3 linked regions of the Saccharomyces cerevisiae S288C genome follow. Changing the gene in region 3 together with the main gene of any one other region gives a genetic interaction. Each region holds a gene or a part of one and is shown on either strand. Other genes may lie near its edges.

The links. Genes that interact genetically often act in the same process or in processes that back each other up.
Region 1: mutations in ISY1 (region 3) and HUB1 together harm fitness more than expected from each alone (negative genetic interaction), as found in Saccharomyces cerevisiae (4 studies listed by BioGRID, with this or other methods).
Region 2: mutations in ISY1 (region 3) and NTC20 together harm fitness more than expected from each alone (negative genetic interaction), as found in Saccharomyces cerevisiae (6 studies listed by BioGRID, with this or other methods).

The regions. Positions count from the first base shown.
Region 1 is NC_001146.8:686,743-689,336, forward strand, and holds HUB1 (ubiquitin-like protein HUB1), read right to left. Parts: upstream 723-2,594; coding exon 501-722; downstream 1-500. Other genes in the region: putative serine/threonine-protein kinase PPG1, read left to right, coding at 1-374; ABZ1 (4-amino-4-deoxychorismate synthase), read left to right, coding at 893-2,594. UniProt on the Saccharomyces cerevisiae protein: Forms conjugate with SPH1 and HBT1. Involved in morphogenesis.
Region 2 is NC_001134.8:603,185-605,975, forward strand, and holds NTC20 (Ntc20p), read right to left. Parts: upstream 924-2,791; coding exon 501-923; downstream 1-500. Other genes in the region: putative ribosome biosynthesis protein GDT1, read left to right, coding at 1-292; 40S ribosomal protein uS4 RPS9B, read left to right, coding at 1,324-1,330, 1,744-2,324. UniProt on the Saccharomyces cerevisiae protein: Involved in pre-mRNA splicing. As a component of the NTC complex, associates to the spliceosome to mediate conformational rearrangement or to stabilize the structure of the spliceosome after U4 snRNA dissociation, which leads to spliceosome maturation.
Region 3 is NC_001142.9:526,849-529,916, forward strand, and holds ISY1 (Isy1p), read left to right. Parts: upstream 1-1,848; coding exon 1,849-2,556; downstream 2,557-3,068. Other genes in the region: UTR1 (NADH/NAD(+) kinase), read right to left, coding at 36-1,628; OSM1 (fumarate reductase), read left to right, coding at 3,013-3,068. UniProt on the Saccharomyces cerevisiae protein: Involved in pre-mRNA splicing and cell cycle control.

The DNA of each region.
Region 1 (2,594 bases), on a different chromosome or scaffold from region 3:
GAGCCCATCAGTTATGTAACGAAGGTTACCAGATATATTTTGATGGATTGGTTACTACTGTATGGTCGGCGCCAAACTATTGTTATCGGTGCGGCAATAAAGCATCTATTCTGGAGCTGTATAGTAAAGATCAATTCTACTTCAACGTTTTCGAAGAGGCACCTGAAAATAAACTGTTGAAAGAGAACAGTATGAACGACAATGCCTTAGAAGATAGCATATCTAATCCGGTAGCCAACAGGAAATTGATTGCAGATTATTTCGAAGACGACTCTGCCTCCGCAGATGGCTCCACGGACCCTGAAATGTACATATTTTCAGATGTATACCAAGCCAGATCTGCTTCTAACAGACATGTTGATTACTTCTTGTAGCTTACTAAACAATAGAAAAGCATTATAGAGACAACGCCATCTTATTATTTCTACATATTCTATCTCTCTCGGTTGCAAATGTATGTATTGTGTATTTAGATCAAAAAAAAAAAAACAGCGCATTTTCTACAGGTAATACAGCTCCAAATTTGTCTGATCATGTACCTCATAATCTTCCAGAGAGATATGGTCTTTTAAAACACTTCCACCCTTCTGCAACACAATTTTGTTTGGTTGGGTGCCAATTTGCAAGGACAATACTTTTTTGAAATCACCTACACTATCTTCAGCAAGGCACTTCACTCTGACTTTTTTGCCTAATCGGTCATTCACAACTACCTCAATCATTTTCAGAGTATTTATTTGCAATCTAAGCTTTGCCACCGCTCCTCTTTCTCAATCTTTTCCTCTCCCTCCTCATCTCTCTCAGCCAAAACCGCGAATATATAAAAACAAGCAAGTCTCCCGTAGAACTTTTACACGATGACCTTTCGAGATTTCACAAGGGGGATAAAGGAATGCTGTCCGATACAATTGACACAAAGCAACAACAGCAACAGCTTCATGTCCTGTTCATAGACTCTTATGATTCATTCACCTACAATGTAGTGAGACTAATTGAACAACAAACTGATATCTCACCGGGAGTCAACGCCGTGCACGTGACGACGGTACATAGTGATACGTTCCAATCTATGGATCAGCTATTGCCACTTTTGCCGCTTTTTGATGCTATCGTTGTTGGCCCAGGACCTGGGAATCCCAACAATGGTGCACAAGATATGGGTATAATATCTGAGCTTTTCGAGAATGCCAATGGAAAGTTAGATGAAGTTCCAATATTGGGTATATGTCTTGGGTTCCAAGCAATGTGCTTGGCTCAAGGTGCTGATGTCAGTGAGCTAAATACTATCAAGCATGGGCAAGTGTATGAAATGCATTTAAACGATGCAGCCAGAGCTTGTGGCCTTTTTTCTGGTTATCCCGATACGTTCAAATCTACGAGGTACCATTCATTGCATGTCAATGCCGAAGGCATTGACACCCTTTTGCCCTTATGCACAACCGAAGATGAGAACGGTATTCTTTTGATGAGTGCTCAAACGAAAAATAAGCCATGGTTTGGCGTACAGTACCACCCGGAGTCATGTTGTTCAGAATTGGGGGGGCTGTTAGTCAGTAACTTTCTCAAGTTGAGTTTCATAAATAACGTGAAGACAGGAAGGTGGGAAAAGAAGAAACTTAATGGAGAGTTTTCCGATATCCTATCTCGATTGGATAGGACTATTGATAGAGACCCCATATACAAGGTAAAAGAGAAATATCCGAAGGGCGAGGACACAACTTACGTTAAGCAGTTCGAGGTCTCTGAAGACCCGAAATTGACATTTGAAATTTGCAACATCATACGAGAAGAAAAATTTGTCATGTCATCTTCTGTGATTAGTGAAAATACGGGTGAATGGTCTATCATTGCTTTACCAAACTCCGCATCCCAGGTATTCACTCATTATGGAGCTATGAAAAAGACTACAGTTCATTATTGGCAAGATAGTGAAATTAGTTACACCTTGTTGAAAAAGTGTCTAGATGGTCAAGATTCGGATTTGCCTGGCTCCCTTGAGGTAATACATGAAGATAAATCCCAATTTTGGATCACTTTGGGTAAATTTATGGAGAATAAAATAATCGATAACCACAGAGAAATACCTTTTATTGGAGGTCTTGTTGGCATTTTAGGTTATGAAATAGGTCAGTACATTGCATGCGGCCGTTGCAATGATGATGAGAATTCCCTTGTTCCCGACGCCAAACTAGTTTTTATCAACAATAGTATAGTCATTAATCACAAGCAAGGGAAGCTTTATTGTATTTCTCTGGATAATACATTTCCAGTGGCATTAGAACAATCATTAAGGGACAGTTTTGTTAGAAAGAAGAATATTAAGCAATCCCTGTCCTGGCCCAAGTATCTTCCAGAGGAGATAGACTTCATTATAACTATGCCCGATAAACTTGACTACGCTAAGGCGTTTAAGAAATGTCAGGATTATATGCATAAGGGTGATTCTTATGAAATGTGTCTCACAACGCAAACCAAAGTTGTACCATCTGCGGTGATAGAACCCTGGAGGATTTTCCAGACCTTGGTACAAAGAAACCCGGCTCCATTTTCAAGTTTTTTTGAGTTTAAAGACATTATTCCCCGCCAAGATGAAA
Region 2 (2,791 bases), on a different chromosome or scaffold from region 3:
AGCATCATTTATGTTTTCCCCAGTTTGGGTTCAAATTTTCCTGATGGTTTTCCTAGGCGAGCTAGGTGACCGTTCACAAATTAGTATTATTGCCATGGCTACTGACAGCGACTATTGGTATGTTATTGCAGGTGCTGTTATTGGTCATGCCATTTGCTCTGGATTAGCAGTGGTGGGTGGGAAATTATTGGCAACAAGAATTAGCATAAGAACAATCACTCTTGCTAGCTCGTTGTTATTCTTCATTTTCGCCTTGATGTATATATATCAAGCATTCACAACTCAGGATTGAGATGGTTTGTAACCGTATTCTTCTTGGATTCTCTCTTTTTTCTCTTCATATTTAAGTGTGAATCTTGAAAAGAATATTTATAGACATACGTAACTAGTGTACGGCTGATATTTATTTGATGTAGCTTTTTTTTTTGCTAAGTTCATCGCTTTTCTTTCCCAGCCAACCCAATGAAGTCTTGCGCACGCAATTGGTTGTAATTATCCGATCAGCCGCTATCATCATTGTCACGGTCGGGTTCCTGTAATACCCTTTTCCTTATTATTCCCTTAATTTTTTCATTCGTTTTCTTCTCGAGCACTTCCATAATAGGCGCTAATTTGGCTTTGAGATCGCTGGTTTCGCAAACCTTATCGATGTAACGCTGATGTTCGTTTTTTTGGGGGATAATATATGGCTGACCACTCTCTTTTTGTTTCGTCTTCTGAATAGTTTCTTGTACAAAACTATTCGTTGCGTTAGAGCTCTGTCCTGTTTGAATCACCGTGTCATATACAGGTTCATTTGAAATATTTAAACCAACAAAATCATTGGCTTCTTCTTTGCCTGTTTTGCCCAGCTGGTTGATACGGGCACGTAACTGATTTAATTCTTGGTCCCTTTCTAGTGATAAATCTCGCAGAGAGGGCATACTGGTTGTAAAAAGTAGTCGCAACAAGTAAGTCGTAAAAAAGTAGATGTAATGGAAGGCTTTGAAGGAACGGCTAGCCAGCTTTTCTGTATCATTCCTAGCCTAATTGACAGCATCTTGACCTTCTAGTATGGAAACTTTCAATTTCAGAAAGCGGTGTTCCCCGCTGCGACGATTTAATCCGTACATTTACACATCTGTACATTTTTCATATTCGCAAAACAAAGGTTACTTGAAAAAATCATAAAGTTGGCGGCTTCAGGTGGACGCGCTTCACTCATGTAGCTTAACATTCAATCCCATTAAGCATTATGCATAAATTTCATGAAGTTTACTTAATAAAATTGTTCATTTGCATAGACAAGAAAGAAAGCAACAAGACAACTAAGACTAAGCAACAATGCCAAGTACGTATTAGACTATATCGAAGAGGAGGGAAATTCTTCACTCTGACTCGTTGATTTTGAAAGAGGTTCGGGTCCTCATAAATATTTGAGAATATGAAATTCCATAATAGTATACCTTCATTGAGTAGCACGACAACAGCCTGAATTACTATCCATATTATGAATATCTTTATTTACACTGAACTCCCGACACTTCAGTTAAACAGGGATACATTAGAGATCAAGGTGATCTAATAGGGAACATCTCTCTCGTAACAATGGGACAGTATTTTATTTTCCAAGGCGGATACCTAATTATGCGTTTTTAATCATATCTCTACAATATTTATGAGCACTTACTTGGGCCCTTGCAGACTTTTGTTCCGGGAAAACTTTTGACTAACAAGAATCCAATTTTACTTTTTTTTTTTTAGGAGCTCCAAGAACTTACTCTAAGACTTACTCTACACCAAAGAGACCTTACGAATCTTCTCGTTTGGACGCAGAATTGAAGTTGGCCGGTGAATTCGGTTTGAAGAACAAGAGAGAAATTTACAGAATTTCTTTCCAATTGTCTAAAATTCGTCGTGCTGCCAGAGACTTGTTAACTAGAGACGAAAAGGACCCAAAGAGATTGTTCGAAGGTAATGCCTTGATCAGAAGATTGGTTAGAGTTGGTGTCTTGTCCGAAGACAAGAAGAAGTTGGATTATGTTTTGGCTTTGAAGGTTGAAGATTTCTTGGAAAGAAGATTGCAAACTCAAGTCTACAAGTTGGGTTTGGCCAAGTCTGTCCACCACGCCAGAGTTTTAATCACTCAAAGACACATTGCTGTTGGTAAGCAAATCGTCAACATCCCATCTTTCATGGTCAGATTGGACTCTGAAAAGCACATTGACTTCGCTCCAACTTCTCCATTCGGTGGTGCTAGACCAGGTAGAGTTGCTAGAAGAAACGCTGCTAGAAAGGCTGAAGCTTCCGGTGAAGCTGCTGAAGAAGCCGAAGACGAAGAATAAATAATTCGCTGATTTCATAACTGTATAATAAATTTTATAACTTTTCAAATCACGGATCATTTTTCATTTTACTTTGTCATTTTTATTTCATTTGAAAATGGGTAGAGGTACATAACTGGCGCTTTTCTTGCAAGATGACATGGCATTGGATGACACAAGTATTACTCAATACCCAACGTAAATAGCTAGAAGATTTTGATCGGATTTAAATTCCCAACTGCAACTCAGTAGCGTTTAGGATTTTACACCTTGGCTTGGAGAAATCCTTATTGTCAGAAATTGAAGCCGTTAATATTTAAAGGCTAATTCTCCATGCCATCTTGCATTCACTTTGGTATATATCTCTTGACCTCAATATATCTCGATAATATAAATCGCAATATTATACTTGTTAGTCTGACAGTTTTACACCTGTACATCTTCACCATCACCACACCCTTTTTTACTGGAGGCAAGGATGAGTTTGA
Region 3 (3,068 bases):
TTTTTTTCTGTACAAACGCGTGTACGCATGTAACATTATACTGAAAACCTTGCTTGAGAAGGTTTTGGGACGCTCGAAGGCTTTAATTTGCAAGCTTCGCAGTTTACACTCTCATCGTCGCTCTCATCATCGCTTCCGTTGTTGTTTTCCTTAGTAGCGTCTGCTTCCAGAGAGTATTTATCTCTTATTACCTCTAAAGGTTCTGCTTGATTTCTGACTTTGTTCGCCTCATGTGCATATTTTTCTTGGTTCTTTTGGGACAAAATATGCGTAAAGGACTTTTGTTGTTCCCTCACATTCCAGTTTAGTTGTCGACTGATACTGTTAATAAACTCATCGGGCGAGGCTTCCACGGTTGGAAAAGCATATGGGCTGGCGCATATGGTTATAAAATCACCTTTTTGCAATTCAATTCTATCTTTCCCATCAAAAGCCGCCCATGCTGGAGCCCTTGACTTCATCGAGACTTTCACTTTTAAATTTATACTTTCTGGTAAGATGATGGGTCTGAAACTCAATGCATGTGGACAAATGGGTGTTAAAGCGATTGCATTGACGGTTGGGCATACCAATGACCCACCTGCACTCAAAGAATAGGCCGTGGACCCAGTCGGAGTAGCAGCAATCAGTCCGTCCGCCTGCGCAACGGTCATTAATGAGCCGTCACCATACAATTCTAACATGGATAGAAAAGGACTTGGACCACGATCGATGGTCACTTCGTTCAAAATGTGGTGTGTGCTTAGTTTTTCCACCACACATATTTTCTTCCCCGTGTTTGGGTCTACTTCAGGGCGGTGTCTACGATAAATTGTGCACTCCAACCTCAACCGTAAATTTGTCTTGATTTTATGATTCATAATCCGAGGTAAATCCTCCCTGAAATGTTCAAACTTAAAATTTGTTAAAAATCCTAGAGACCCTAATGAAAACGACATAACGGGTGGTACATGTCTCTGAAAAATGGAACTTACAAAAAGAACAGTACCGTCGCCACCCAAAGTCACTACCAAATCGAAGAAAACATCATGTTCCCTGATGAAATCCTTTGTCCAATACTTGATCCTTGATTCTCTACATTTACTATCTTCACATAACTCGCCAGCGGCAAATTTTTTGCTGTTTTTCAATTCGGAATCCACATAAACAGTCACACGTGGAAAATGTACCAAAACCCATTCTACCAACTCTCTTGTTAAGAAATACAGTGAGACATCGTTGAGTTTCGTAACAATCATCAAATTTTCCACATCCAGTTCCACTTTGGTATTAGATATATCTTTACTCAACATTCTTACACCATACGCCGTGGAGGCATACTGAAAGTGTGTATTACTACTCTTAGAACTTCCTCTTGTTCCGTTAATGCTCGTACCACCGCCACTGTTTGCATTGCCGTTCACGAGAGATGAATCTTTATTCAACAGGGAGCTTCTGCGCGAGCTGCTTTCACTTGATATTTTCCTCAACATTTCTTTGGCGTTGTCGATATCCTGAGTTCTATCAATTTGCTCATTGTTCATCATGGCCTTCTTCATCAAGTTATTATTGTTGTTATGATGATCATTTCGACCATCTTCCTCATTTACCCATTTATCTACGCCATTATTCATGTCATTCTCCTTCATCTCAAGAGCTTTTACTCTACTTATTTAGGGAGCCTATTGTATTTTTTTTTGGCTTACGATCACGATGTCAATGATCATTTGCCCTATTATACCTTTTTCTCCGTTCTCTTTGCGTAGTGCGGTGAAATAATTTCAGGATGCATGAAAGAGCAAATAAAAGTGACACACCGTTATATCGCAAGGCGCACCACATCAGTAATCAGATACCTGTGCATTCAAAATGAGTAGAAATGTAGATAAGGCCAACTCAGTTCTGGTACGATTTCAAGAGCAGCAAGCAGAGTCGGCAGGTGGATACAAGGATTATTCACGTTACCAGAGGCCCAGGAACGTGTCTAAGGTAAAATCCATAAAAGAGGCCAACGAATGGAAGCGACAAGTAAGTAAAGAGATAAAACAAAAAAGCACAAGAATATATGATCCGTCTTTAAATGAAATGCAGATTGCGGAACTTAACGACGAACTTAATAATCTTTTCAAAGAATGGAAGAGATGGCAGTGGCACATTGACCATACACTTATGGAAAAAAAAACCAAGAGGAAAAGGTTAGAAGACAGTCATGTGCTGATGAATTCAGGAAAGCTGATAAATGGTAAGAGATATTTTGGAAGAGCCCTGGAATTGCCTGAAGTAAAAGAATGGCTCAAGCAGTCTCAAAGGCAGAATGATGGGGGTTCTATAAACACCAAATGCATACCGAAGGATAGAAATGATTTTTATTACCATGGCAAAGTCACAGCCGCCTTAACCGAATTTGAGGCTAACTGGACATCCATTTTGAAAGCACATTATAATGTGCCTGTGAATGAAGATGAAGAAGAAATGTCAAGGCAGACACAAGAAATCCATGTACCAACTCTGGCAGATATGGAGCATTGGTTAGTGCAAAGAAGAAAAAAGAAACTAATGGATGAACTTAACCTTTAGCTATGGAAAATTATTCAAACATTTAGAAGAGGCACTATTTCGAATGACCATCACAAGCATTATAATCTTCAAACATGTCCGAGCTGCAGATATGAAGTAAAATAGTGATCGGGACTCATTTTTTTTTCTTCTATGATATCATATTGTCCCGTTCGTTATTAAATGTAATTCTTCCACCGTACTAGTTATCGAAGGCAAGATCTCCTTTTTACGCTTAGGTAGATTACATAGATTTCATAATGTACACCAATACAAATGTATCTTATACACTCGTCAAATCTTATATGAATCATGCAGGAGTAGCTCTCGTTTTCTTTTTACGAGCTACTTGAAAAAAAAAAACTAGCGAAAATCCTTTGCTTAGAAATCCAGATTTAAAACAAAACCGCCGAAAAGGGAAAGATTTTATGATAGGAAATACCTTAATAATTCTATATCATCCCGAGTCTTAGGAAAATGATTAGATCTGTGAGAAGGGTTTTCATTTACGTCTCAATATTCGTATTGATAAT